Linked DNA regions of Pelodiscus sinensis. The protein of the gene in region 2 binds, or shares a complex with, the protein of the main gene of each other region. Links are inferred from orthologs where the notes say so. Each region holds a gene or a part of one and is shown on either strand. Other genes may lie near its edges.

Region 1 (15,078 bases), on a different chromosome or scaffold from region 2:
AGAGGCAACAGTGCCGAGGATGAAGGGGGCAGACAGGAGCCAGTACACGCAGGGAGTTAGCTTTTAAGCCAGCTCTCTGCATGTGTTGACTCTGTGGAGCCACCTTCTCCCTTCCCCCACCGGCCACAGAAGCAGAGGGGGACGGAGGAGATGGGAGCTGGTGTTGGGGGAGGGGAGGAAGGAGGGGAAGCTGGCTTTTAACCTACAATAAACTGATATTGCAAGTCCAAACTTTAAAATATATTTTAGTATTCTGCAAATATAAATTAGATCAGACTGATAAGTGAAAGTTCACTGCTTCTTGCCAAGTAGTTTTCTGGAAAATAGAAAAACAACAGAACACACAGTGAAACAAGAGTGAAATTCTTTTCCACTGTACCTTCATTTCTGACACTCAAGTGATTTAGTTTCCAAATACTTTGTTAAATCTACAGCCATGTTATTTTACTGTCTAGCCATGACTAGTACTGTCTTACTTGCAAACTCCTTGGTTGTAATAATCTTTAGCCATTAAATGCCACCTTGATCTACTGTATGGCAAGTGGGCTGGAGTCTACTTTTTTCTCTCGACAATTAACATACCAGGACTCAATTTTTTTTCAACAGATATTTAAATGTGACATTCTAAACAAGACACAATATAGCAAGACTGCAAAGTGTCATCCTGACAGCATTTGGCCCAGTACAGCCCATTATATTTACATAAAATGTAAAGCTTGAACTGGAAAAATTGAAGTTGCAATTTTAGCAGCTGTGATTAGATCAGATCTATGTCAAAACTCTGAAGTAAATGGAAATAAGGTCAAAGATTTTTTTTTTATAAAAGAGAATATGGTTCTTATTAATAGAGCCCCAAAGAATTAAGTGTATACATCTTAATACATGTGTATGCCTGCTAAAACGCATGTATTTTTGTAAATGCATAACCGCAGGCAGGAAAAGACAGCTCCCTGTGAGCACCAGCTCTGGTCTGTCCTCTCTCGTTCCCATCGCATTGCTGTCTCAGTATCGATGCAGTAGCATAGAGGGCAGGTAGCTCCGCAGGGCCATGCTCACCTGTCCCACACCCACCTTGCTGCTGCCACCTCTGAAGTAACTATCATGGGGAGGAGGAAGGAGGAGGAGAAGCAGCTCCAGGGAAGCTGGCATGCACAGGGAGCATCAGCTCCCACCTGCCCACCCCTACGCTGCGACTGTATCAGAGACAGCAAGGGGAGGAAAGCTGTGTGTAATTGTTTACACAATTAACCAAGGAGCCCAGGTTCATCATGTGAACAGGTATACCTTCACATCTCTAACTCATCCAGAACAAACAAAGCATAGGTAAGAACAGTACCAGATCATTTACGCTGCCTCAATTCTAAACTGAAAACAGCTAGAGGTCTGAAGGAACTTCAAACTATATGCCTATTTAATTATTTGATTTGTATTGAAACTAATCCCCAACTATGAAAAGAGAAAATGTAGTACACTGACTCATTTCATATAACTTAATGGCCAGACAATCTTATCACTCACTACCTGTCTGTAGCCAGATTTAAACCAGCTACCTAAAAGGACTCATCAATCCCCTGAGTTGCATCATCTAGAAACAATGTAATTTCTACTTGTGCTTAAGGGTAGGAGATATGCAGAAGTATAGAGGCATACTGAAGAAAGAATACACCTCAAAACTGCGTGCAAAGCTAGTGTTTTTTAGAACATGGTAGCTGATCCCTTAATTTACATTTGATACATAAAATATTGTAAATTTCTGTATCCAGTTAGTTTTTGCTCTCCATATGCAAGATTATTTGGTCATAGGTTTTATTCCAACATTTAAACAAAGCTGAGGAGATGCAACAGTTTTAAAAAAAAAAGTTGAACAAGATTATTAAAAATCACAGCATGTTTAAGTATTATAAAATTGTTTAATCTAAAATTTACCTGTTATGAGATCAGCTCTGCTGCTTTTGATTTCTTCATCCTCTACATTTGTGCTCTCTTCTTTTAACCCATAAAGAATATTGTCAAAAGATAGACTCTTGCTGGACACAATGTTGTCTCTACTGATTGGTTGATGAATTCTGCTATTAGCCTCAAGTAAAGAAGCGAAGTCCTCAGACTGAACAACTTCAATGGGTTCCAGCTGACAAGAGCTTTTAGCCTGCGATACATTCTTTGAAGACACTGGCAGAGATTCTTCATCACTGTCAAATCCAAATGGATCTTCTGTTACCTCATCTTCGACTTTCGGTTTTTTAGGAATTTCTGAAATATCTGGTTTGACATTGGGCCTCTTCTGTCCTAATTTGGCCATAAATGTGGTTTCTCCCCATTTTGTGCTAAGGGTGGTCCTTTTGTTAGAAAAGACTTCATCAAACTTTGAGTTGCCATTTCCCCCTTTCCTGCTGTATGTCTTTCCAAATCTGGATGTCATTTTGACAACTGTTTCATATTCTCTGTGTGAAAAAAAAATATATAAAAGTTAGTTTCAGTATACTGTTGTTTTTAGTAGAAATGATTATTTTCCCACTCTTTATTAGAGATACCATAGATGTTCGTTTTTAAGTTAGTATTGTAAGTTAGTACTGTTTCTGACTGGCATCATTCACTTCATTTAAAAAATGCACACTGTTTAAAGCAAGTTCTGCAACAGATATCATGCCTCTCAATATACAACAGTCACTCACTTGTCCCTGTTTATTTAGTAGAAATTCACCACCTTGAGTCAATAAAAACTTATCTGCTATGACTAAACAGATACAAAATGTTGTGTCTCCTTATCCACAAAAGAGAGACATGGATATCCAGATCCACAAATGGATATACCCAAGGATATGAAGCAGATATCTGCAAATTTGCAGGGCTCTAGATAGAAAATCTGTATCTGCATCCACACCTGTGCATGCAGATATCTGCAGATATGCAGGGATCTCTGAATAAATATTTGGATGGTTCTGTTTCCATATCATACTCCTACATAATACCTACATTTGCAAGGCTTGAGGCCATTATTTTCAGGAAAAATTAAAAAGGTTGTGTATTTTGTCTAACTTTAGACTATTTTCATTCCATATTTGTATGTGCAGCTCATGTTAGAGTAGACAGACTATAATCCAGTCTGGTTTTTAAAACGTGTCTTCCCCATAGGGTACTTACGCAGCAAGCTGAAATAATTTTTGAACCATTAATAATTATATTTGACTATTAATGGAGGACAGACAAGGTCCTAGACAGGGGCAGTGTAGCAAGCCTTGTCCCTTCCTCCTCTATCCCATCTCCCTTCTCCTCCCTCTCATGCCCAATGCGGAGCCATGTGGAGCAGTGAGCAGCCTGCAGCAGTCTGCCTCAGGTTTCTGCTGTTAAGCACCTCCCAGACAGAGCCTACCTCTGGCACCCCAGCACCTCCCTTCCTTAACCCTCTGCCCCTATACCCCCTTCCCAGATCTGGCACCCCAATCCCCTGTCCCAGATCACAATCCCCTCCTATCCTAGGCCACATCCCAAAATCCTGCATGCCAGTCCTCTACCGTAGGACACAACTGCCTTCTTCAACCAAACTCTCTCAAAGACCCCATCCTCCAAGCGCCATATACTAGCAGTAGTTATCAATGGTTGGGTTTCACACAGAAGATCTTTCTAGTGAAGTCCCACTGGGGTCTGACCTGGATGCGGATATTCATATTTTTAATAATTACTTGGAGAATGGCATGCTCAGAGCATATGCATATGAAACCTGATGATGAAAGCAATCTGGGAGAGGTCACAAGCATCCTGGAGGACAAGATTAGAATTCAAAACACCCCTGACAAAATGGAGAATTGCTGGGAATTCTGAAAATTAAATTCAGTAAATTTCATTTAGTGCAAAATAACCCAATAGGAAGGAAAAATTAAATGCACAAATACAAGATGCAGAATAACTGGTTACATGATAGTAATACCAAAAAGAAACTGGTGACAATACTGGATCATAAACTGAACATGAGTCAACAATGTGATGCAGCTGCAAGAAAGGCTAGTATCAACATGGGATGTATTAACAGGAATCTGACAGTCCCACTTGGTACAGAGTAGGCCTCTGATGGGAGTACTGCATCCAGTTTTGGTCATCATGCTTTAAAAAAAGATGTGGACTAATGGCAGAGAGACTGTGGGGAAACATCTTAGCAGTTTCAAATACATTAAGGACTGTTATAGAAAGGATGGTTATCCATTGTAGACAGGGCAAAAATCAATGAGCTTACTGTGCATCAAGACAGAATTATATTATATATAGGGTCCTATCAAATTCAGTCATGCAAACTACATCATAGACTGAAACCTGGTGTCTGCTCATGAAATCTGGCCATTAGCGTTCTTTACTATACAGAGGTCACAGGGGAGACCATTGTTTCTCGTTGTTTTCCTGCTGCCTTTATTTTAATTTGAAGACAAAAGCAGATCAATTAAATATTTAGGCTGTATTTACATTAAACATAAAACATTTTCCCTTAATCTATACTGTTAAATTTTAGATTCTCAGCCTGGGCAGTTGTAATAGATAAAGTTATTTTTTTTTACACTGAATTTCAACTTAAGTCAATCTTCAGGTCTGCAAATACAGATGTAGAAGTGGAATTTTACAGGAAGTCAGATTACACGTTTTGCTAATTTTTTCCTTCAAACTTATGGAACATTTACATTGCACTTAGATAAATATCTGTTCCTATAAATCCTAAATTGGGGGTACAAAGTAGAGATTTTAAATACTGGTTAATTGAATAATCAAGTAACCTCATGAATCCTTATCAGTTACTTGACTATTCTATAGTCTGTGGGGATGCGGCTAGGAGCCAGTGCACCCCACTCCAGAGGAGCTCCCTGTTACGCCACACTTCTGCCCCTGTATCTGAGGCAGTAATATGGGGTGCCAGGCAGAAGCTGGTCCGTGAGAGAGCCAGTTTATAAAACACTTCCCCTCCCAGACTGGCTGCCTGTCGCCTTGTACTGCTGCCTCTGATACAGAGGCAACAGTGCAGGGTGGCAGCAGCTCCCGTCCAGCAGGGGTCTGAGCTCCTGGACCAGCCATGAGCTGGCACTTAGCTGGGCTGCCTGCCCACCTACCTCCTAATACACTTGAAATTCAGAGGTGTATTTAAGCACAGGTAGGTCCCAGACCCATCACAAGCCAGGACTGAGAAAGGCTGCTGGCCAGTCTGCTAAAAAACTTACTGGCGGATGAGGGGAGGGGAAAATGCATGTAGTCTGTAGCATTAACTGATAAACTTTTGTTTATCTGTTAATTGACTACACTATTGCATCCTTGAGACAAAGTTGCACTGATAAACATTTCCTCTATTAATAGTTTCAAAATATGGTAAATTATTTCTAATTTGTAAGATACCACTTATGACTACCTATATTATTGCCATTTCTACTATTGTGTAGATTAATTTGAAACTGACACCTCTAGCTACTGGTAAAATTAGCATGCTCTGCAATTCTCTCTACTCCTTCACACTCATTTAGAACCTCCTCTTTGTTGAGTAGTAGCTACTCTCCTTTCATTTATTTCTCCTATGTCAATAGTTTAATATTTACCTCTAATTATCCATTTTCCCCTTCAAGGAGCTAAGTGAATCTGAGGTGATCCTCTGTACTTTTAAAACTTGCTCCCTGTTTTAAACTTGCAAAAGCAAAGCTTAGCAAAATGATTAGTTCTCAGGAATGAGTAATAGAGCAGGCAAATGATGTGTGTCTGAAGGCTCAAAAAGAGTACAGTAACTATTCATATTTCAAATGCCATCTTTACAACCATGAGGTCTAGAAAACATATTTAAGCAAAATGAATTTTGTAGAAACCGATAGCCTATGCAGCTCCTACCCTCAGGGAAAAGATATTTTTTATTCACAAAAAACATGCAAGTTTTACCCCACCCTGACTAAAAGTCTTTTAATTTCAGACTATAAAGCCCTGCCCTATGACTAACCTCCTTATGTAAAATACTGCTATTTTCATAGATGTTCAATTATCTTCTGAAACATCTATTTTATAAGACTAAACAAGAATAAAGACATTAAAAGCTGTGTTGTTACTTGATATGTTAAACATGAACCTATAAGCATGATGTAGTAATAGTCACTTAATCAAAATATGGCTTCTAACTTTCATAGTCAGATTAACAATACTTTAAAAATACTTCCTTGCCAGTGTTAGTTTATTAATATAGAATACTTAAGAGCCCAAATTAAACTGTACCTATTAATGCTGACTCTTCTTGCTTTTCACTCATCAACAACATATTTTAGTTTCACTTTTTCACTTCTATGCCCTAATACTTTTTAGCTGTCCTACTCCAGCGCAATGGTGCAATACTTAGACACCAAACAATTGCATACATTGTTTGCATATAGTTGCAAAGTATGCAAGCTGCTAACTAAAGTCTAATTTAAGAACTTTATTCCCCGTTTTTAACCACTGTTTTCTGAAATCTGTGGCCCAACCAGACCTGACAGTTCGTTTTAAAGGAGGGACGCACACCACTTCTCTTTACTTGTTACTCTTTTGCCAATTATTTCCCTTTCATAATCAAAGGACAGAAAAATAGGTCAAGTACTGGACATATGAAGCTAATGAAATCCCCAGAGAATCACCATCATCCTGTTCTTCGTGCAGGCTTAAAGCGGAATGCGAAGCCTCTCACGTCCCTGCTCTCGCATCCCAAACCCCTGAACCGCCAAACAGTAGAAAGAACCCAAGTAGCTTCTCACTTGAGTGGCGGAGGCTCCCACCCAGCGCGAACAGGAAGCAGAAGCAGGCTCCGCACCCACCCCTGATTAAGCGCCACCTGCTCCTCCGCACATCCCAGACAGTTGCGCCTGAGGCCAGCCGCAAGCTAGCGAGGGGAGGGGGGGAAAAGTTCCCTCAACTCCCCCCGGCCGGGCCCGCTCACAGCTCCCGGGGAACTGCGCGGAGGGAAAGTTACACGCACCCCTCCCCCCCCTCCGCCCGACCCGGCGTCCCTCGGCCGCTGGAACGTCCCAGCCTCCCCCTCCCCGAGGCGCAGCGCCCGCGGCAGAAAGCGGGGCAAGAGCGGCCGCCGGCGTAAGGGGCAACGGGGCCTTCTCAGAGGGCTGCAGGCCGCGCAGGCCCCGGGAGCCAGGCAGCCGCGCAGGCCCTGCCCGCCGCCCGGTACCCACCTCGGTCTCACCCAGGGAGGAGGGAGGCGGCGGGGGACCCGGCTTCTGCTCCCGGCGCGGTTCGGACTCGGCCCCGAGAACGCGGCTGCCTCGGCCCCGAAACGCCGCCCGCGGACGCGCTCGCCAACGCGACTCCTCCGCGTCCCGCCCCCCCAGCGGAGCCTCCCTCGCCGGGGTGGGGGTGGGCGCTGGCGCTAGGGCCCCCGGCGCCTCCTCCTCCGGCGCCGCTTTCTCCGCACCAGGATTATCGTTGCTCTTTGAACAGGGCCCTGGACCATCTCTCCGCCATTTGCCCCCCGCTCCTTCCGTCACTGCGCTTCCCACACTCGGCCGCCTCCCCGCAGCCAATCGCGCCCAGCCTTACTCAACCGACCCACACGCCGCCGCGCATGCGCCCCCGAAAGGGCGCTGGGACGCCCCTGCGCACGCGCGCCCGGGGCACGCTGGGACCTGTAGTTTCATAACGCGGAGGGTGAGTTAGGGGAATCGCCTCCCACCCCCGCCAGTCTCCAATTGCTTGTCTCGGTGCTCCAGGGCGGTGCAGCTCCGTGCGCGCGCCGGCCTTGCATCAGGCGCCAGCGTGCGCGCGGAAGGGGGCGGGGGGTGCTTGACGGCGGGTGACGTTGCTGTGCCCGCGAGCGGTTTGTCTCCGGAGGGGCGGGTGACGTTTCAGCGGGGCGGGGCCGTGCGCTGCGGTGGCGGGAAGGGCTGCAGTCCAGAGTTCTCGACCGCGGGCTTGCCTGCCACTCAGCCTCCTGCTTTGCTTCTCTGGAGGCTTGGGGCGGTCTGGCGCGTGCCGCCGGGCCCCGCTCCGCTCAGTGTGACTGCGCTGCAATTCGGATCTTCCGAGCAACACGTTCCAGTTAAGGCTCCCAAACAATGTCAACTCCACCTCCGGAGTGGCGAGCGAGGGTGAAACAAGAGACTGACTTATCCATCCATAACAAATGTCTCTAATTAGAATCCTGCAATACTTCAAATCATGCAGCTATTGCCCAAACTCCACTTGCCAACAGCTACTCACAGTCCACAGAAGAAACATTTTATAAAAAATCCCAGTTAGTCAAAAAGCATCACAAAGGCTATCACTGAACATCCTTCAGCAAAATTCTGTGCACCACTATTCCACTAATCCTAGTCAAAACAGCAAAGCTATTCATCTATTTCTGTCTCTGACTAGCTCATGAAAATAAAGTGCTGTAGAGAAAGCTGAGTGCGGTAAGAACAAATTCACTTACAGCTAGTCTGTCAAGTAATCTCCACGTTTAACCCTTCTGCTTGATGTACCCACTAGGGATGTAAGCGTGTAGTTGATTAACTGATAAGCAAAAGCTTATAAGTTAATTCTGTAGACTACACACATTTCCCTCCCCTCTAGTCCACCAGTAAATTTTTTAGCAGCCTGGCTCAGTCCTGGCTCATGCCAAGTCTGGGACCTACCCCTGCTGCGGCACTGTATTTAAAGTGCATTAGGAGCCAGGCAGACTCAATTCCAGCTCACGCTGTGTCTGGGAGCTCAGACTCCCCTCCCCCCCCCCCAAACACACACACACCAGGCAAGGGAAGCTGCCACCCTGCACTGCTGCCTCTTTATCAGAGGCAACAGCACAGGGTGACAGGTTTTTAAACTGGCTTCCCTTGCAGACCAACTCCTGCCTGGCACCCCACTCTGCTGCTTCTGATACAGAGGCAGCAGCATGGAGTGGTAGGGGACTCCTTGGGAGTGAGGTGCACAGACTGCTGGCCCTGCCCCCAGGGACTATAAAATAGTTGACTTACCAATAAGAATTAATGAGGTTATTCAACTATTCAATTAACCAATATTTAACATCCCTAGTACCCAGCTTTGCTCAGGTCTTTAACTGACTTTTGGGGGGTGGAAAATAAAATAAAAATATACATATTTTCAGGGCTCGACAAACCGCTGTTTCTACTCGCCCGTTGCGAGTAGATTTCAGCCAGTCGCTCTGTGCACCCTATTCACTGGCGCTGTGCACGTGCAGTGCTGGTCTGGCGCATGCGCGGCGTGGGGCTGGCAAGTAGCTCTTGCCGCAGTTTATCTAGCTCTACATATTTTATTTCATTTGTATTTTTTTGAAAATGAGGCAAATGAGGGTTCAGAGGTAAGGAGAGAGAGAAGGTGGATAGCTTAGGACAGAGGGTTAGGAAGTGTAGGGGGGCTCAAGGTAGGGCTTAGCTCAATCGTATCTGACCTTTTCAACCACAAGATCACTTTTTCTATTTAAATGCAATGTAAGATCTACCTCAAACCCAAATACCCTTGCGCGGCTTCCTTCCCCCCTTCTCCGAGGCCTCACCCTGCTCACTCCATCCATCCTCCTTCCTCCCCAAATCTCATTCACTTTCACCAGGCTGTGGTAGGGGGTTGAAGTGCAGGCTCTGGTCTTCGGCCATGGGGTTCGGAGTATGGGAGGGGATGCCCTGAAGGTAAGGGGGTGGGGTGGGTTTCGGAGTGGTCTAGGGCAGTGTTTCTCAATCAGTGGTACGAATACCCACAGGGATACCCAAGAGAAGTCTGGGAGGTATATCAACACAACTGAAATTTGGAGAAAACTGAATTTTTCTTTTAAGTTTTACAGCATTTTATTATTTTTGTATTTTTTACACCCAAACATTTCATCACCTGCCTGGCTACGATTAAGTTGTTTAAACAAATGTGTTGCAACGATAGAAAAAAATTGTGTGTGTCTGAAAACTGTAGATACTTTTTTTTTTTTAAAGAGTACTTTATAAAAAAAAGGTTGAGGAACACTGGTCTTGGGGATTTTCCTGGGGATAGGGTTGGGGACTCTAGTCCTGCCCCTGCCCACCCTGGAAGTAGCCAGACAGCCAACACAGGCTGCCCCAGGGATAGAGCTGGCTCCTGCATTTGGAAAGGAGGCTAAAGGACCTGCTCAAGGTAGGGAGGTGGAGTGGGATCTCCAGTGAACTCAGGGATAGGGCATCCTCCTCTGGAGCACAGGATGTTGGGCTCACTCCCTCCCTGACAGTGGCCAGACAGCTGCCCCAGATATGGAGCAGCAGAGTTAAGGCAGGCTTACTCCTGAAAGCAGCTGGCATGTATAGCACTGGCCCTCATCTACAGGCACCAACCCCACAGTTCCTACAGACCATGGTTCTCCATTATTGATCAATGGGAGTTTAAGGAGTGGTGTGTGCAGGCAAGGACAACGTGTGGAGACCCACTGCAGGGACATGCCAGCCACTTCCGGGAGCACAATTACCACAGGGATAATGACTCCAGACATGACAGTTTAGGCCTTTTAGAACTCACTTTTCAAAGAATTACATTTAAGCCTAAGAGAGAAATGAAAGTTACGAAATGCACAGATCAGTCAAACACTAAAAATAACCCACTTTGCAAGAAGTAACAACAACCCGCCCACGTATGTGTTGGGTCTGGAGATGAGAAGGAAGGTTGGTGGGGGGAGGGGCAACTGAAGTGCCAGCACTTGATAGATTCCTGGCCAAATCAGTCAGGATCACCTATCAGAGGTTACAAGATCTACTGGTAGATCCGGATCTACTGGTTGCTTCAGCATCTTGTAGAGCAGCCTTTGTCCATGGTGAGCCTGGGCCCGCCAAAGATAGGGACTCTTGTCGCAGAGCAGCCTCTGTCAGCGGGGAGCTGGTGTTTAAACCAACTCCCCCTGTGGACTGGCTCCCACCTGCCACCCTTCACTGCTGCCTCTGCAACAGCAGTGGGCTGTCTGACCACTCTCAGGGAGGAATTGAGCCCAACACCTTGTGCTCCAGAGTCTGATGCCCTGTCCCTGAGCAGCAGCATTGGGTAACAGGTGGCTCCCCGGGAGTGCACTGGCTGCCAACCCCATCTCTGGGGACTATCAAATAGTTGTATAACCGCTAACATTTGATGTAGTTGCACAAATATTCAATTACACGCTATCTAACATCCCTAGGGGCTCCCTCTGCACCCCTTCCCTCTCCCCCCTCCCCGTTAGCTCCTCATCCTGCTCTAATTAAATCTTCCTTTCCTCAAGCACCAGTGTTCAAGTCAAGGTTGAAAAAATATTTCTACTATTTTTCATTGCAAATATAGAGTATTTCTGCTACATTATGGGTTAAATAAGCTTTTGTGGGCTAGCCTGGAAACCTAACTACCATTTTTAACATTATTTCTATGGGAAAATGTGTTCCAAGTTCCAAAGAACTGACTTACAAACTTTTGGAACACAACCTGTTTGTAAGTTGGGGACTTCCTTTACTTCTCATGTCTTGCTTACAACACTTCTGTTAACGTATCCCAGAATGGTGTTTGGGGTTTTTTGCAACACTGTTGACTCATGTTTAGCTTGTAGTTGACTATGTCCCCCAGATCCCTTTCTTCAGTTCTCCTTCCTATGCAGTGATTTTCCATTCTCTCTGGCTGTGTCTAGACTGGCATGATTTTCCGCAAATGCTTTTAACGGAAAAGTTTTCAACTAAAAGCATTTGTGGAAAAGAGCGTCTAGATTGGCACAGATGCTTTTCCGCACAAGCACTTTTGCGCAAAAGCATCCGTGGCCAATCTAGACGCGCTTTTGCGCAAAAAAGCCCCGATCGCCATTTTCGCGATCAGGGCTTTTTTGCGCAAAACAAATCTGAGCTGTCTACACTGGCCATCTAGATTGCATTTTCATAGTTTGCTTATGAGAAGGTCATGCAAGACAGTATTAGAAGCTTTACTAAAGTCAAGATATACCACATCTACTGCTTCCATCTTGCACAAGGCTTGTTTCTCTGTCATAGGAAGCTATCAACTTGGTTTGGCATTTGTTCTTGACAAATTCATGCTGACTGTTATTTGTTCCCTTATTATCTTGTAGATGTTTAGAAATTAATTCCTTAATTACTTCCCCCATTCTCTCTCTTGGTAGAGAAGTTACGTTGACTGGTTTGTAATGACCTAGATTGTCCTTATTTTCCTTTTTATAGATGGGCACTATATTTTTCCTTTTTCAATCTTCTGGAATCTCTCCCATCTTCCATGACTTTTCAAAGATAATAGCTAATGGCTCAGATATCTCCTCAGTCCACTCCTTGAGTATTCTGCGATGTGTTTCATCAGATCATGCTGACTTAAAGACATCCAATTTATCTAAGAAATTGTTAACTTGTACTTTCCCAATTTTAGCTTCTATTCCTACCTCATTTTCACTCGTATACTAGATATCCAATTGCCACCAATCTTCTTGGTGAAATCTAAAACAAAAAAGTCATTAGGCACTTCATTTTCTGTTAGTTTTTCTGCTTTCATTGAGTAAAGGGCCTACCTTGTCCTTTGTCTTCCCTTTTTTAAGAGGAATAAGGGATCTTTCGGAAAGGAATAAGGGATCTTTCAGAAAAGGCTTTATTTTCTGAAAGATCCCCATCTAGACTGGTGCTTTTTTGCAGCAAAGCTCCAAGCCGGAAAAAAGCGGCAGCCATGTTTATGCAAATCCCCGCTTCATTTGCAATTGCGATGTGTCTAATTTGCATCCCTTTTACGGAAAAGGGATGCAGTCTAGACACAGCCTTTGAGTCTAGTGTATTTTTAGAATGTTAACTTGTATCCCTTTTTGTCTCTAATAGAGTTTGAACCTCTCTAGTCCAGCACTCTCTGGTCCAGCAACATCCATGGCCTGGAATGACTTTAGTTAGTCAGATGTTCACTTATCACGGGTGTGGCCAAGTTTCCCACAGTCCCTTGGACTGAAGTTGAGATGGAAGAAGGAGACGGACTTGTAATATTGGCTAAGGATAAAAGGGGGTAAAAAAAGTGTGATGATATGCAAGGGATCTTCTGCAGACCACCTAACCAGGAAGAAGAGGTGGATGAGCCTTTTTTTTAAACAAACAAAATCATCCAGAGCAGAGGTCTTGGTAGTGCTGGTAGTAACAGAGTGACTTCAACTAATCAGACATCCACTAGGAAAACACCACAGCAGAGCACAGATTATCCAACAAATTCTTGGAGTGTATTAAGAACTTTTTATTTCAAAAGGTAGAAAAAGCTACCGGGGAGAGGCTATTCTAGATTTGATTTTGACAAATAGGAAGGAATTAGTTGAGAATTTGAAGAGGAGGGCAGCTTGAGTCAAATTTATTATGATACGGTAAAGTTCATGATTCTAAGGCAGGAGTGGGGGCTACTGACTCACAGTTGAGGCCACACACAAGTGAGAAGAAAAATATCTCCCAATTCACATTTTTCTCCTTGCTTTAATTTTGACCAGTTCTAGTTTCAGGCTTCTACCTCTTCTGTGATTGACATAATCCAGAACCCAGGGAAATCCTGGCTGCATTGATGTCAATGAGAGTTCTACCATTGACATACTATCTCTTAAATAATGTTGAAAATGGGATGCTGTGTCTATGCCAACATAACAGTGACTTTCAGAACCAGTTGAAGGTCTTGTTTTCAGCAACAATTCAATTTCCTATTCTCTGCAGTTCTTAAAAATGTTTAGTTACTCTGGTTGAAAACATGCTAGAATCATTGGGTTAAGCAGAGTGATATTTAAATGGAGAGTGGAACATTACAGTATGATTTTGTGGATGCTGAAAAAGCTTGCTTTCCAGGAAGTATATAGACTTCTTTAGTAAAGCTGTGATATTGGAGAGAATTCTGTACATCTCCTTCAACTAACCCCTAAGAAAGGGGACTAACTAGGATTTGAAAAAGGAGAGCTTGCTTCATACTGTTTTTGACCACATACTGCCTGGTGTGACTCCTTCAGCATGTGAAAAACCTAATTTGATGCATAATACATCAAAGTTTAATAATGTAATGCTTAAAGCATCACTAACTAGGATAAAGCACAAGTTATAGGGAACACAGCAAGCAGCTACATGGGTGTGATAAGTGATTCAAACCATGGCACTACTGAGTCAGATCCAGGCATCAAGCAGGTAAACATTGTATTCTTCCACCTTCTTCCTGTAACCTGCACACTCATCTGTTGCAGGCGTGTCAATAGCAGCATCCTTTCCACCTAAGGACAGACCCTGGAAATACTGGTTCTACTAGATGAGCCAACAGCAGTCATCCACCAGTCAGACATCTAAATTTCAGATGTTTGTTCAGAACAGTCTTTTTCCAAGTGTCCAACTCTCCTGGAAAAAACAGGTTTCAAATCCTAGTGGAGAGAAGGCACCGGTAGTTTTGACCTCAATAAACCTCATTGAAGTCAACACTGTACCCGCACTTGGGGTTGATCTCATCTTGGTGCAGTGAGATTGAAAACCAGCTGTACCATGTCTCCTCTAGCATTTTACAGCAGGTTAGTTGCATGAATTTTTGCAATGAAGACATAGGCTCCCTTAGGTATTATCCTTCCAGGTTAGGGTTTTGGCTATTTAGTAGGCTGAAAGGGGAGGTGTAATGGGGTGCATACACCTCCCACAAGTATCCCCTGGCCAAATGCATGTGCCTTGACTCTCTTTGGCTATGTCTACATTGGCAGGTTCTTGTGCAAGTACAGCCGTTCTTGTGCAAGAATCCTCAGAGCATCCACACTGCCCCCCTGCTCTTGCTCAAGAAAATTTACAGTACGGCGTGGTAAGAGAGAGCTACTTGCACAAGAGCTACACTCTTTTCTTACAAGTGTAAGCTCTCTTGCGCAACAGCTCTTGCACAAGAGGGCAGTGTGGACCCGCTGCAGGGATTTCTTTCGCAAGAAAGCCCTATGGCTAAAATGGCCATCAGACCTTTCTTGCACAAGAGAGCATCCACACTGCTATGGATGCTCTTGTGCAAAAGCACATCTGGCACATGGCAATGTGTATGTGTTCTTGCACAAGAACCCTTGCACAAGATGTTCTTGTGCAAGAACCCGCCAGTGTAGATATAGCCTTTGTGATTGTGGTGGTTTTGCAGTGATTCATCTCTCCAGCAGAGTCACACACAGTTTGT
Region 2 (15,264 bases):
CACACTGTACTTGCGTGCAGGCACTGGCCCACGCTCCCACCAGCCCGGAATGGAGAACCAAAGCCAATGGGAGCTGCAGGGAAGGTGCCTATAAATGGGGGAGTAGCATCTGACATCTCCAATCCCCCAGGAGTCACTGCTGGACATCCTGGCCACTTTCAGGAATGGAGCTCGGCCAGGATGGGGGTAAGCCTGGGAACCGAGGTAAATGATACTCAGCCAGAGCCTGCATCCTGGACTCTTGCCCTAGCCTTGAACCCTCTCCTGCATGCAAACTCTCTTCCAGAGCATTTATCCTAACACTTTGCCCCAGCCTGGTGAAAATAAGTTAGGATGGTGGAGGGAGAAGAGGTGGGACAGAGGCAGAGCCTCAAAGAAGAGGTGCAAAGAAGGTGGGATAAGGGTATTTGGGTTTGAGGGGGCTCCTGGACTGCACTTACTGAAAGGTTGGAGACCACTGTTGTAGAAGCTGCCCAAAGGGGGCGGGGGGGGGGGGGGGGAGTGAAGAACCAACAGGGGGGGGGGGGGGGAAAAGGTACAATTATCAGTAGAATGGAAAAAGGCAAACCAGCCAAATGACCTTTGCTTCTTCAAATTAAGCAGTAGGAGAAGCATACAAAAAACTGAAGAAATTCCATAAACTGATGTTGGCAAAATGTATTCTCATCCCTACATTTTTAGGCAGAAAGCTTCACACTCAGCTCAACCAGTACAATAATTACTAATATTCTGAAGGGAAATAATAGCAAAATTTGATTGTGTATCAGTATATAAAAGATCAAACTTGATTTAAGTCAGAAAAGGGATGTTATTTAAAATAAGATATTTTATTTAAATCATAATAGTTAAAAATAAACCTGTTTAAAATTACATCAGAATTTAATACAAAATAAGTTAAAACCTAAATTTATTATAATCTGTCAAATCATTTAAATTGGAAACAATTATGCTTAATCCATGTGCCTCTATCACTTCTCTAAAGAAAGAATGAATAAGGAGGAAAACATCTAATTTGTAAGGTCAGGATTCATCAATATGGAACAGTACTTGATGGAGAACAATTTGGAGTTGTATTTTACTGTGGGCTTCTGATTTAATAAAAATAAATTGTATATGCTTGTGTGTTTAGTTAAATTCTAGTTACCAGCCTAATGCAGTTTGATGCAAATCATGAGTAAAATGTCAATTATCTAGTAAATAAGCAATACATCATTCATCATTTGCTGACATACTACAAATGTACAGTTAAGATATTAAGCTATATAAATTGTTTACATAGTAATAGTGTACCCTCAGACAACAAAAAGATGTACCAATCTAATATTACAGCTGTACTTCAATTTTTTCCAAAGAAAAGTGCATTCACATTGGTTGACAACCATTAAAACATGCTGACTGAAGTACCAATTTAAAAGTTTATTAAAATTACTTAAATTAGCACTTTCCACTTGGTAACTTAATTCATCATTTAAATTGCCTTGATTTCAATCACTCCACCTTACACCATCAAAAATCTTCACGTAACACACATTCAACATAAAAAAAGCAGAAAAACTTCAGCATATTTGTTCACAGCCACAAAGTCACTTAAAATAAAGTGTCTTCCCACAAGGTGCATTTTCTCAATTTAAAACTTCGGCCCATTTTGTTTTTATCAAAAGGGAATTATAAAGAACGCACTTCGCCAAATCTGTGGAAAATAAAGTTATTCATCTGCATTATTCATGAAAATATAGAGAGAAAGTCTAGAGATACTAAAAGAATGTCTATACTTCAGTTAGTGAAGAACTACCTACACTGACAGTGAAGTGTAAGTCGCCAGTTACACTGAGCTACCTTCTGTATCACTGAGTTGTTTTCTCCAAAAGCCTAAGCAATGCATTTATATTTGACATAAGTTTGAAGTCTAGACCAGGGCTAAGAAAAGTGAAGCAGATAAACTCAAAGAGATATTATAACTAGATAGGGAAAGTTTGTATATTTAAAGAGATGTTTGGACATGTCCTATAAACTACACTACTTGCATCCACTTAGCACCATAAAAGTTGAAATCTCTCAATTTTTGAATTTTTCTCTTTTCTAGTTTAGCTTTTCTCAAAAACATATTAGGCATAGCTGTATTATACTCAACTCCCATGTGAATGAACTGGGTTTGATTCATACAGAAGCAGAGGCTAGCACTGCTCACAGACTACTTGTAGTATAATGGGAGGGGAGCCCCATTCAGTAGTTGCCCTTCCAAAGCCAGTGATAATTAGACTTCTAGTTCATAAGTGAAGGTCTAGTCCTCTTTATGAAGAAAGGTATTAATGATAACATAAGCAGCAATAATGTAGGGGGATTATGAAAAGGATTATCTGGGTTCTGGAATTTAAAGGACACATTTTTTACTGAAATATGCATTAGCAGATGTGGCACAAGTGTGAAAAATAGCACAGTTGAGAAAAATCTGCAGTAGGACTCCAGAGTTTCTCAAAGCAGTTGACCACTTATTTCTACATTCTAAAGATGGATTACTAGCTTCTTAGATATGCACATTAAAAGGTAAGAGTGTAAATTAAAACAAAGTTAAGAGCAAACATGCACATTTATATTTTCCTAAAGGACTAAATTTCATTTAAAAAATTCTGATAGAAGTTGCTTTTACTTCTAAGGTTTTATTCTTCACTTCCATCACTTACATTTCGCAATTTCTATGAAAGTTAGCTAGAACACCACACTTTATTTGTAAGTGCTGACATTAGAAAAAAAAAGTATTTGTGAGGACAGAACATGTATCATTTGTGACAAAATGCAATTTATGTAAAAAAAGAAGTCTACTTTATGCCTTGATCTCTATCACACACACTATTTACAATGTTACAACCCATTAAGCAACTCTTCAAATCCATGTGATCTCTCAGAACTGACTATTTTTTTCTATGTTGATTTAATCCAAACAGCAAAAGACTGTATTCTCATGTACTATTTAGGGCCCCAGCTCTATACTAATTATGTCAACACTGATCAGCATCTCTCAAGTCCTAGTGATACCAAAGGAAGATAACTGATTCGGAAGTCTTCACCTGAGGATAGAATCATGGCCAAATCTAGAAAATCTCAGATTAAAAAAAAAATCAACATATACCATCTAAATTAGATGGTGAGTTGCTGTTTTATCATCTCTCACCACAAACACTACCCCCAAATTACAGTAAGCTGAGGCACAATAGCCAGAAAACACACAATTTAAAGGAAAAGGGACTGCTGGCAGGGGATTGTCCAGGAAAAGCCCTCAGCACTAGAATTCACTACTTCACTTTCAGGATATGCTTCAAGGCCTATCTATTTTCTCAAACTTTGGAGTGTGATCTGTATTAGGTGTGAAGGAGTGAGGGAAGAGGTTTGTGGTATTTAAGGAGGTTTTATCTTTTACTCTTTTGCATTTGATTCTCCATTCATTATATTACAGGAATTACTTTTGATTAGGTTTGCTGTATTTTAAGTTTCTGTATGATGTTAATTTTATTTTTGTGAAATCTTTTAGAGCTCTAGTGTAGCCACTTGCCTGAACCACAACAAATATACACATTTGTTAGTGCAATCCCTAACTAGCCATGTTCATCTCAGTCAAAATTATTTACCGTTTATATCAATACTTTGTTTAAAATTAAGTATACACTACTATCCTTAAAAACTGAACAAAATCAAATTTCCTGAAAGACCAACACACACACACACACACACACACAGAGAACTTTTACATGTTTGGTGGCAGGGAAGAGACTGTATCCATTCTTAAAGGCCCTGTGTTCTGGCAATTCTTCTTCAGCAGAAGTCTGCACAATTACCTCCAGAATGTCTGTGCAACCTAAGCATTGTCCATCAAGACAGACAATTTACCCACAGCCTAACACTCTCAGAGCAGGACCAGTCCATTTAACCTTTTTAATACACTAGGGGGCTGCACCCACTGCTTGCTATGCTCACTAACCCCCCTCTCGCGGCCACTCCAGCCCTAGTCCCTTCCCCTCCACCTCTCCCGGCCCTGGCTGCACCAGCCAAGGATGTTAAATTTCAAATGACTAATCAAATAATTGATGCAATTTGCTCTGACTCTTTGATTAGTCGATAAGGGCACCTCCACTTTTAAAATGTAGGAACTGCCCCAGGACTGTTGCTACACTTCAAAGGAAAAAGCGCTGCGGGGAGCGCAAGGCTAAAGGGGCAGTCCCCCACTGGCCCCATGCTTCCCGCAGAGTTTCAAAGCAACAGCACCGCAGGGAGCCCAGGGGCTCCACACGGCACTGCCACTTTGAAGCACCCCCATTTCTTCCCCCACTTGCTTCCTCTTTCTAATAGACAGTGTGTGGGGGCAAGAGGGGGGACGACTAAATCAACACAGTTGTTGACTATCTGATAAGCATTTGCTTACCACATATGTGAATGAGTAGTTGACTGTCTAGCACCAGCCAGGGTCCATTCTCCCCCGCTCCCTTGCCATGCCAGCCTGAGGCCCTTCTGCCATCTCATTACCCCCTCTGCCAGGCCCTGCCCCCGGCATCTGGGGAATGCCGGTCCGCAACACACCTGCCTGGTTCTCCAGGTGGCTGACCGAGAAGGCCAGGCTGGCAGTGGGTGGGGCCAGGAGTAGAAGGGAAAGGTAGGGATTTACCCACCCATGCCTACCCCCCAGCCTGTGGATACTGTGACGTGATGTCGCTTTTTTGTCCCACAGGTTAGTTTGTTTAAGAGAGAGAGAGAGGGAGAGAGAGAATGAATTTTCACATACTAGCCCCAGCTCAGGATTAATTCTAAAACCATTCCCTCAAGATTCTCACTCTATTTTCAGAGTTTATAATGGGATATAACTGTACGTTGGGTGCATAGTTCCAATCAGACACTAGATTATTTTTATAACCTTAAGCATGAACTGTCATATCAGCACAGAGTGCTAGACACTAAAACTACCACTAGACAGTAATGACAGAACTGCTCTGGAAAAGGCAAAGAACATGTAAGGAAAAGAGACAGTAAAGGAAGGAAAGCCTCTTACCAATGAATTGGGGCTGAAGAGTGTCAACAAGGGTGAATAGAGAAGAGATTATAAATTTGCTTTCATTTTTCCAACCCTGCTTTTCCTATGCCTAAAAATCACTCTCCATCGCATACTATGGATCCTCCTTTCACTCATCTGCATCTCTTCTTCTGAGTTGTCCAGTGGAAAATACTCTGTTTGTGCAACAAGTGGAGTATGTGGTCTTTTCCAAATCCAACCTTAAAAAACCACTTCCTCCAAGAAGTCTATGATCATCACTAGACTTCAACAATTGTACAATATAATTAATATTGTCTTATGTGAATAAATTGTGCTGTCTGTCTGAACTAGGCTATACATTTGTTTCATATACTATACCACATGAAGCACAAGATCAGTGCTCGACCAATAACAATAGTTCAGAGAAGGGGATACCAGAGGAAGAGGAAAAAAAAAGATAAAAATATATCCCACCAGAAAAACTCCTGTTATCAGTCAGACATATAGCACTGCCTCAAGAAAAGGCTTTGTACACATCCGAAAGAGAAAACGTAACAAAGGATTACGCTTTTCCTTTTCAAATGATTGCTAATTGTTGAAATTTACTTAAACTTTAAGCTTTAATTTCACTGAACTATCCAACTTAAACCTATATTTTGAACAACAGTACTTGACTTCTCCAAAATGTGTTTTAGCAGGTGATGTTGCTGCATAGGTCTAACATTCACATTTCCACAACTTCAGTTTATTCAACTTCTCAGACAAAACACCCAGGACTACAGTTTGTTATACCAATCAATTGGAACAACAACTAGTAAAAAGTGTGAACAAAGTATTAGGTACTACCACTAACCCATAAGAGTAAGAAACATGGGCACAAGAGAAAACAGATTGAATACCTAGGCACAAGGTGTCAGACTATTATTGTTTTTCTCTTGTACATACTTTTCAGACCTAAATGGTAGGCACGTGGCATATTGCAGTCAAGATAGAGAATCAAGAAAGGATGCTAACAGTAACATAACATTTTAATTTAGGATGTCTGTGCATAATACACACACAAATGTTTCAATTCCACATTGCTTAAATAATCAGTTAGCCTGGTTCAAATAAAAATGAAATAGAATATATAGAAGTTGCATAACATTTTACACACAAAACGTACTATATCAACTTTGATCTAATAAATTAGAACCCATTGTTGTTTTCAGGAGGAAGACAACAGCTTTGTTTGGAAGGGAGGAATATGAAAGAATTCATCTTATTGCATACCCCTTCTGAAGTCAAAGATTTTAGATATATTTTCCATTATACACCTTCAACGTTTTATATTTTCTACAATGTTTATCTATTATACAACTAATGACTAGATAATACTGAACATGACTAAAGTGCTTCTCCCATCATTTCATAAAGTGTTGAAATCAAAAGACAGAATAGCATGCAATAAATATTAAACCGGAGTTAATATAGCACACCTGAAAAGACAGTAATAGTTATCAATAGATAACCATTTAAAAGTCAAAACTCATGCAACTCGGAATCACAATAGAGCTTTTATAGTAAAATTCAGTCCTTTAAAAGCTCAGCTATTGCAAATGAATTTTTAGATTTGTACACCATCATGTATTGTTGATTTGTTTTGAAGAACAGATAGTGAGTTATTTGCTGCAGTATGAAGTTACAGATAGATTCCTTGACCAGAGACTCAAATAATATATATTTTCTACACACAGTGTCCTTTACTTGTCAATGCATGTATAAAATGTCATATTTATTAACTAAATCCATATCCCCCCCCCCTCCCCCAGAACGGGGTAAAAGAGAAACATGGGTGAACGAGCTTTGCTGAAAATAGTGACCCACCAAATCCAGGTCTCAGTAACCACCTCCCCCTAGCTAAGTAGCCTGCGATCGCTGGGAAGTGGAGACTATCGACGGCAGCTACTCGGGGTCGTGGAGGGCGAAAGGGCTGCGGGAGCCCTGGGTGCTGCTAGGCGGGGGGCGAGGCCAGCTGCCCGGGGCAGGAAGGGAACGGCCAGCGCCTAGGGACTCACAATCGTTAACCCTCTCGTCACGGCTCCGCCACAAGGAACCACCAGCAAGCAGCACATTGAGAGCGCGACGCCGTCCGCCAGGGAAACTGCACGAGCCCAAGTCACCCGGGGAAAGGGGAGCAACCCACAGCACCACCCGCCAACTCTGGGCGAAGGAGCAAAGCCCCGCCAAGGTCACCCCCCGCCAGGATTCTCCCCCCCTTCCCCCCAGTGACTTAGGAAGAGGAGGGGGCGCCAAGTTTGGCGTGTGGAGGCAGAAGAGAGCACAGGGGTGGCGAGGGAAAGGTTGCAGCTGGGGGGAGGGGGCTCGTCGCCGGGCCGGGCTCCCCCACACACTGGCCGTGCAGCATGGCCCGGGCTGGCGCCGCTCCGGCCCGGCTACAGCGGGGGAGAAAGGAAAATGGAGCAAGGCGCGGGGCGGCTAAGGGCGCACGGCCGCGCCACCGGGCTCCTTACCTCCCCTGCAGCAGGCGCCACCGGGCTCCTTACCTCCCCTGCAGCAGCCGCTGCCTTCCCTCGCCGCTGCCAGGCGGGTCCGCTCCGCGCTGCCGCTGCTCTAGGCTCGGAGAGGAGCCGCCGCCGTTGCTGCAGCCAATCGCCTCTAGCCCCCTCCCCTTCCGCAGCTCGCCCCGGTCTCCCTATCGGCTTCAAAATGGCGCCAAGTTGTCTCCGGCTGTTCCAATGGAACCGCCGAGAGAGGCTGCAAGGCGGAGCAGCAGCGCCCCCTGCCGGCTGACGCAGGCAGCGCCCTGCCCAGGCGCGGGCAGGCGGAAAGAGCGCGCCAGACTCGCGCAGGAACAGCTTTCACAGCCCGTTACCCGGTCGTGGGGCGAGACCCCGCGCATCGCTCTATAAACCCGCGCAACTCGGCCGTAATGGCTGCGGAACAGACCCGGCTCCGATTCCCCCACGTAAGCAACGTACAGAAAACTAAACTGCTGCTGCCATGACAGCAAAGTCTGCTCAGTGCTTCCTCGGCCAAGCAGGAGAGGGCCAGAAATTACACTCAAACGAAAGCGTGATCCGTCCCTCTGCCTATATAATAATATTCACTGCCTGGGCGCTAACGCTTACTTCCCGCAAGGGAAGCGAAACTTCCACCCCTAAAGAAAAACCAGCCAAGATGGTATCTCAGCAGCTAGGCACCAACCGACAGATCACAAGGAAAAGCAACAAGCTAAACTGTTATACTATAGATCCCCGAACACGAAGTTGTCTTACTAGCAGAATACCTACCTATAGTAACTTGGACCTACCAAATACCGAAAGCAAGGACCACAGAGGTGGAAATAGAGGGACAGTGCACTGTCCAAATCCAGACTGGACTTTGCAATGAATATCACGTGAGAAAGAGAGACCAGACATGCATTCTATTCCACTGTGCAAAAGAAATGTTTAGCAGGAATTATAATCTATATATAATAGAGCAATGATGAATAAATGTGTTTAACCTTGCGGTGGATGGGAGAAAGGAGAGCTGAGCATCTCCAGTGTGGGGCATTATTTGGGAGGAAAGTAAGCACAAACGTGGTTCAATTCCACTTCCCAGGTAAACACTAAAAAGAAGGGAGCCAAAATATCAGAAAACAAAACTAACATGTTTAGTTTATAAAAAATAACTACAGTTATTTTTTTAAGTGAGGGCACTCCACTCACCAAGTCTGCTAATATAAAGGCTTTGTCTAGACTAAGGCTAATTTTTGTTATTAGGTAACATGTTGCCCTAGTGTAGACAGGTTTCCTAAGATTCTCCTCAGCTATCTAAGGGTATGTCTACACTGCAGAGTTTTTTCAGAAAAACGGGCGTTTTTCCAGAAAAACTACACTTACATCCATACTGCAATGGCGATCTTTTGACAGAAAGTCGAAAGAACGCACGGGGTTTTTCCAACAGCGATAATAGTAATCACAACTCAAATGCGAGATAGGATCCAATCAATGTGGATGTTATCCTTCCAAAAAACATCACTTTTTCAATGCGCTTTTGTTGTGTAGATGCTTTCTTTGTAAAGAAGTTTTTCCAGAAAATCTCTTTTGGGAAAGCTTCTTCCAAAAGAAGCCTGCAGTCTAGATGTAGCCTAGCACATTAAAATATAATATGTGTGGTCTCCAGTGACGTTTTTAAAATATGTTAGAACATGCTAACAAAAACATTTTTATTATAGACTAGATAAAGCCTACAAGAGTAAATTATATTCATCGTTGCCAGAATTGTTAGTTTAATGCAATTATAGGTCCAGACAAAATTCTGGCCTTCTTTACGTCTTTTCAACTCCCTCTTTTCCACCCTTCTTGAAAACAAAAACAACACTGTACAAGTGTAAAAGAGGGCAACATTTTACCTGTCAAATCTTTATTGCTGGTGGTAATTTATCTGAAGTAAAGAACCCAGTTCAACTTTTAGGGCACAGAGGAAATTTGTTGCACTGGCAGTTTGGGAAAACATTTTTACTTTCAAGCTGAACACATTTGATACATCAATAAGAATTACAATAAATTTCCCATGTGACCATGTAATATTTTGTCTTTCCCAGTTCTCTATTGTAGTGGTCTTTACCTAGATTGTAAGATTTATGGTTAGGTCTTTATTTGTTGTGTGAAGTGCTATACATATATATAAATCTCTCTATATAGCTGCAGTTTAAATGTATATAACAAGTGTAACAGTTGTAGACTAATTGTTGACTTTATCTTCTTGCCATTCCCTATTTCTATAAAGTGTGTGTCTTATCCCTCATTTATGGGACAGGGAAGGGTACTTATCCCCTATTCTTATGTTAGGATGCCTGACAGCTGTGCACAGATATTTGGAGACTGAAACATGGTAAAGTGGATGCTATGAGAAAGCCTAAGACTTAATTCCCAATCATCAAAAGGTTCTCAGAAATGCCTGCACATTTTCACTTAGTCAATTCAATCATTTCAGAAGTTAACACTTTCAAAGAAATTCCTTTATTTTTCCCCCTCCTATACCACATTTAATTTCCTTGTAGGGGTTTGAATACAAACAAAATAAAATCTACCACTAGTTTACAAACTACCACACTTAGCTTCTTCTTACTGCTTGGTAAATCAACAGCAGTACTTTTCATTTTCCTCCAGAGGGGGCCCTTACAGCACCTCTTCTCATGAGGGTTAGCTGCTTGTTCCTTCTCAACTGTCATAGAGGGATGCTGGAACCAGGGTGGCAGTGTGGCAGCACCTTCAGGCTAGAAGTAATAATAGCAACTGAATGCACAGCTTTCATCACATTCCGGGTTTACAGTTTTGTTCAATGGCTTTCAGCATCCCTTTTATAAACATTTCTAGTATCCCTGATATTATTCTTGACTTCCAGAGATCATTCTGATTCCAAAATCTCCTCTTCTTCTTATAAAGGACGTGACTCAAAGCAGGCAAACGCTGAAGTTTAGAAAGAGGAAAATAATCTCTACATAGGTACCTTATTATACATATGGCACATATTCTGCTTCCATTGCTCCAGCACCATCTCTGAATGTAACTTACAGCAGAAAACAGTTCCTGGTGCTAGCACTGCAGAAAAATGGATGTGCAAACTGCCATAAATTGGATACTTGCCCTGCAGGCTGATAATCAGAAATACTGCCCTGCCCACACAAGCTGTAGGAGGCAGCAAGGAGATGCTGTTACTCAAACAACCAAATCGAGGCACATACTGACTGAGGCTAGTGATGAGACTTTACAGAACACTCTCATTGTATGTTGCATTAAAGTTATATAAAAATTAAAATTACCAGATTATGCTGCTATATTCACTGTGGTATAAATCTGACCTGTGCTTCAGCTTTCCATCTTTAAAAATGAGTACAATAGTACTTCCCTATCTTAAAGGAATACTGGGAGAATTAATACTTTAAAGACTGCAAGATTTTCAGATACTTTGGCAAACTTATGTAAATACAAACTTATGTAAATACTTTAGGCAGAGAAAGGCTCATGAAGAAACACCATTTAGACCATATTCTCTTAGCTGTTCTGGTTGCTCAGTGCAAATCAGAGTAAAAAACCATGATGATGTCTATTGGCAAATATGGCCTCTTTTCCCACGTACTGTTAAAGATAATAGTATCCTAAAAAGGACCTAGAAGATTGATTCGACATTTCTACATCATTCTCTGGTCTCTTTCCTTACTGAAATAACCCTGAAGTCAGATGACAAAAGGGTGTGTGTGTATACAGCTCATAAAAGCTTTCAGGTGAAGCACAGAACACTAGTGTCCAATCTAAACCTCTCCTGCTGCAATTTAAGTCCATTACTTCTTGTCCTATTATCAGAGGCCCAGGAGAATAATTTTCTCCCTCATCCTTGTAGCACCCTTTTAGCTACTTAAAAGCTGCTGTTATGTCTCCTCTCAGTTTTCTCTTTTCCAAAATAAACAAACCCAATTATTTCAGTCTTCCTTCATAGGTCATGTTTTCTAGACCTTTAATAATTTTTCTTGCTCTTCTCCCGACCTTCTCCAATTTGTCCACATCTTTCCTGTGGTGCCCAGAACTGCACGCAGTATTCCAGCTGAGGCCTACTCAGTGCAGAGCGGAAGAATTATTTCTTGTGTCTTGCTCACAACACTCCTGTTAATTCATCCCAGAATGAGATTTGCTTTTTTTTCTCCCCAATGGTGTCACACTGTGGACTCATAGCTACCTTGTGATCCACTCTGATCCCTAGATCCATTTCTATAGTACTCCTTCCTAGACAGTCACTTCCCATTTTTTATATGTGAAGCTTATTGTCCCTCCTTAAGTGCAGAATTTTGCCTTTGTTCTTATTAAACTTATAGAATCATAGAGGAGACCTCAGGAGGTCATCAAGTCCAGCCCCCTGCCCAATGCAGGACCAATCCCAACTTCAGCCTATTTCTCAGACCATTTCTACAGTTTGTCCAGGCCATTTTCAACTATAACATACCTACTCCTTGCAGCTGGTGGGAATGTTGATCTTGCACAACAGTTGAAATCAGACTCAGTGACTCTATCACTAGCAGCCTTTTGATACTGTTGTTTTCTTTAAGTTACTGTGACTCTCAAAGCAACGTAGCAATAACTTCTCTTTCTCTCTCTCTCATTTCCTTACTCTTCCTATTATCTCTCTTTGTCTCTAAGGAGAGCTGTACAATTAGAATCCCTTATGACAAAACAGTAGGAAAAGATGCTTATGCACTCTTCCGTGTTGTAGCAACAATAAGACTGGCTGACATCCCTTAGATTGTAAGCAATTTGGGACAGGTACTGACTTTACTGTGTTTACAGTGCCTAATGTAATGGGATCTCTATTGGGATATCGAGCTTTTATTGCTTTCCAAACAATTAATAAACTTGGATAGCAACAGCAATACGCATATTGAGTTACAGAACAATAACTGTCTCAAACCTTTTCCTTAGAAGCTTCTGATCCCCAGCTTCTGTCCTGCCTTCCTGGCAGTTTTTTGTCTCCAACTGTGATGGAACCTTCTCTTGTGCTTTATAGCACCACTACCAGTCTGCCTTATACATTATCAGTGACTACTCCAATTACTTACGAAGTATACAATCAACAATATTAATTTTAACAAAAAAAACCACCAAAGCAGTTACTCTCCAAAATATATGAAGCTTAAGAAAAGAATTGTTCCTGTCTTTACTTTCTTTCACTGCCTTGAAGATAGATGCCTTGCTGACAGATAGGGTGTCAGAGATTTAGCATTCTTAGAGGCTGCAGGAGCAGTCTGCCTCCTTGACTGGCATCAGTAGAAATGATTTAAACCAAAGTTGTTAAAAGCATATACTAATCCAGGGCTACACAACATGCAGCCCATGAGCTGCATGGAGCTCGCAGTCCATTTGTTTGTGGCCTACAGTACAGTTTATGCAGGACTCAACACGTGGCGGGTGGGAGCCAAAACAAAGAAGTAGTCAATCTAATGGTCTTCAGTTGATATGCATTTTAGTAGTTAAATTCCTGGACTGTCATTACTCATTAAAAGTGCTGTCATAGGGGTTGGAAATCTGGTAAATATTGTAAATATCAGCAGAACTGACTTAAATGGGGCCTCTGTGTTGTGTAGTCTTGCCTTAATCTTTGTATTCATGCCCATCAATGTGAAAGAAGCTATTTGCATATATTTGCATGTATGTGCAACCACACTTAAGTTGTGGCCCTCAGCATGTGCTGTGAATATCACTGTGGCCCCCGGGGCTTGCAAAGTTGAGTAGCCCTGTTAATCTGTATTAGGGAGGGATCTGTTAGGAGGGAAGTAATATTGTAGAATGGCCACAAGGGGGAAACAAGGGGCCAGAGATGGGGACTAGGACAGCTATAACCTCATTAGGCCAGCAGGGGGCAGGGGTGGAGAAAGGAACAGCTAGCCACTATATATTTCAGAGAGTTTGTCCGTTTGTGTGTCAGTTTGTCTGTGTATCTGTCCTTTAGCTGCAGGACTTGTACCCCAGCTGTGCCCATTTGCAGCTGCAGCAGCCATGAACAGGCACTTCTCACCTTACCCCAAACTGCTGGGGTGAAGAGGGCTGAGATTGTCCTCTCTCCCCAGAGCAGCCTACATACTGAACCCCTAATAGACATTTATCTAACCTACTCTTAAATATCTCCAGAGATGGGGATTCCACAACCTCCCTGGGCAATTTATTCCAGTCTTTAACTACCCTGACAGTTAGGAACTTTTTCCTAATGTCCAATCTAAACCTCCCTTGCTGCAGTTTAAGCCCATTGCTTCTTGTTCTATCCTCAGAGGCCAAGATGAACAATTTTTCTCCCTCCTCCATATGACACTCTTTTAGATACCTGAAAACGGCTATCATGTCCCCCCTCAGTCTTCTCTTTTCTAAACTAAACAAACCCAATTCTTTCAGCCTTCCTTCATAGGTCATGTTCTCTAGACCTTTAATCATTCTTGTTGCTCTTCTCTGGACCTTCTCCAATTTCTCCACATCTTTCTTGAAATGCGGTGCCCGGAACTGGACACAATACTCCAACTGAGGCCTAACCAGTGCAGAGTAGAGCAAAGAAGAATGACTTCTCGTGTCTTGCTCACAACACACCTGTTAATGCATCCCAGAATCAGGTTTGCTTTTTTTGCAACAGCATCACACTACTGACTCATATTCAGCTTGTGGTCCACTATAACCCCTAAATCCCTTTCTGCCGTACTCCTTCCTAGACAGTCGCTTCCCATTCTGTATGTGTGAAACTGATTGTTCCTTCCTAAGTGGAGCACTTTACATTTGTCTTTATTAAACTTCATCCTGTTTACCTCAGACCATTTCTCCAATTTGTCCAGATCATTTTGAATTATGACCCTATCCTCCAGATCAGTCGCAATCCCTCCCAGCTTGGTATCATCTGCAAACTTAATAAGCGTACTTTCTATGCCAATATCTAAATCGTTGATGAAGATATTGAACAGAGCCGGTCCCAAAACAGACTCCTGCGGAACCCCACTTGGTATACCTTTCCACCATTAATAACTACTCTCTGAGAATGGTTATCCAGCCAGTTATGCACCCACCTTATAGTAGCCCCATCTAAATTGTATTTGCCTAGTTTATTGATCAGAATATCATGCAAGACCGTATCAAATGCCTTACTAAAGTCTAGGTATACCACATCCACTGTTTCTCCTTATCCACAAGACTCGTTATCCTATCAAAGAAAGCTCTCAGATTGGTTTGACATGATTTATTCTTTACAAATCCATGCTGGCTGTTCCCTATCACCTTGCCACCTTCCAAGTGTTTACAGATGATTTCCTTAATTACTTGCTCCATTATCTTCCCTGGCACAGAAGTTAAACTAACTGGTCTGTAGTTTCCTGGGTTGTTCTTATTTCCCTTTTTATAGATGGGCACTATATTTGCCCTTTTCCAGTCTTCTGGAATCTCTCCTGTCTCCCATGATTTTCCAAAGATGATAGCTAGAGGCTCAGATACCTCCTCTATCAGCTCCTTGAGTATTCTAGGATGCATTTCATCAGGCCCTGGTGACTTGCAGGCATCTCACTTTTCTAGGTGATTTTTAACTTGTTCTTTTTTTATTTTATCTTCTAAACCTCCCCCTGTCCCACTACATTCACTATGTTAGGCATTCCTTCAGACTTCTCGGTGAAGACTGAAACAAAGAAGTCATTAAGCATCTCCGCCATTTCCAAGTTTCCTGTTACTGTTTCTCCCGCCTCA

The links.
Region 1: the proteins of PDS5B (region 2) and WAPL are in contact, whole or in part, in a crystal structure (PDB 5HDT), measured with the Homo sapiens proteins. The link is inferred for Pelodiscus sinensis from reciprocal best matches to the Homo sapiens genes PDS5B and WAPL. Residues at the interface, in NP_055847.1 of Homo sapiens: Gln47, Phe88, Ala92, Pro93, Ala95, Trp137, Val138, Lys139, Ser140, Asn142, Ile143, Phe145, Glu146, Glu187, Gly188, Asp189; in NP_055860.1 of Homo sapiens: Lys7, Thr8, Tyr9, Ser10, Arg11.

What each region holds. Positions count from the first base shown.
Region 1 is NC_134718.1:18,739,815-18,754,892, reverse strand, and holds the start of WAPL (wings apart-like protein homolog), read right to left. Parts: upstream 7,560-15,078; 5' UTR 7,403-7,559; exon of another isoform or gene 7,164-7,402; intron 2,442-7,163; 5' UTR 2,420-2,441; coding exon 1,927-2,419; intron 1-1,926. UniProt on the Homo sapiens protein: Regulator of sister chromatid cohesion in mitosis which negatively regulates cohesin association with chromatin. Involved in both sister chromatid cohesion during interphase and sister-chromatid resolution during early stages of mitosis.
Region 2 is NC_134711.1:298,198,126-298,213,389, forward strand, and holds the start of PDS5B (sister chromatid cohesion protein PDS5 homolog B), read right to left. Parts: upstream 7,725-15,264; 5' UTR 7,531-7,724; intron 7,492-7,530; exon of another isoform or gene 6,884-7,491; intron 1-6,883. UniProt on the Homo sapiens protein: Regulator of sister chromatid cohesion in mitosis which may stabilize cohesin complex association with chromatin. May couple sister chromatid cohesion during mitosis to DNA replication.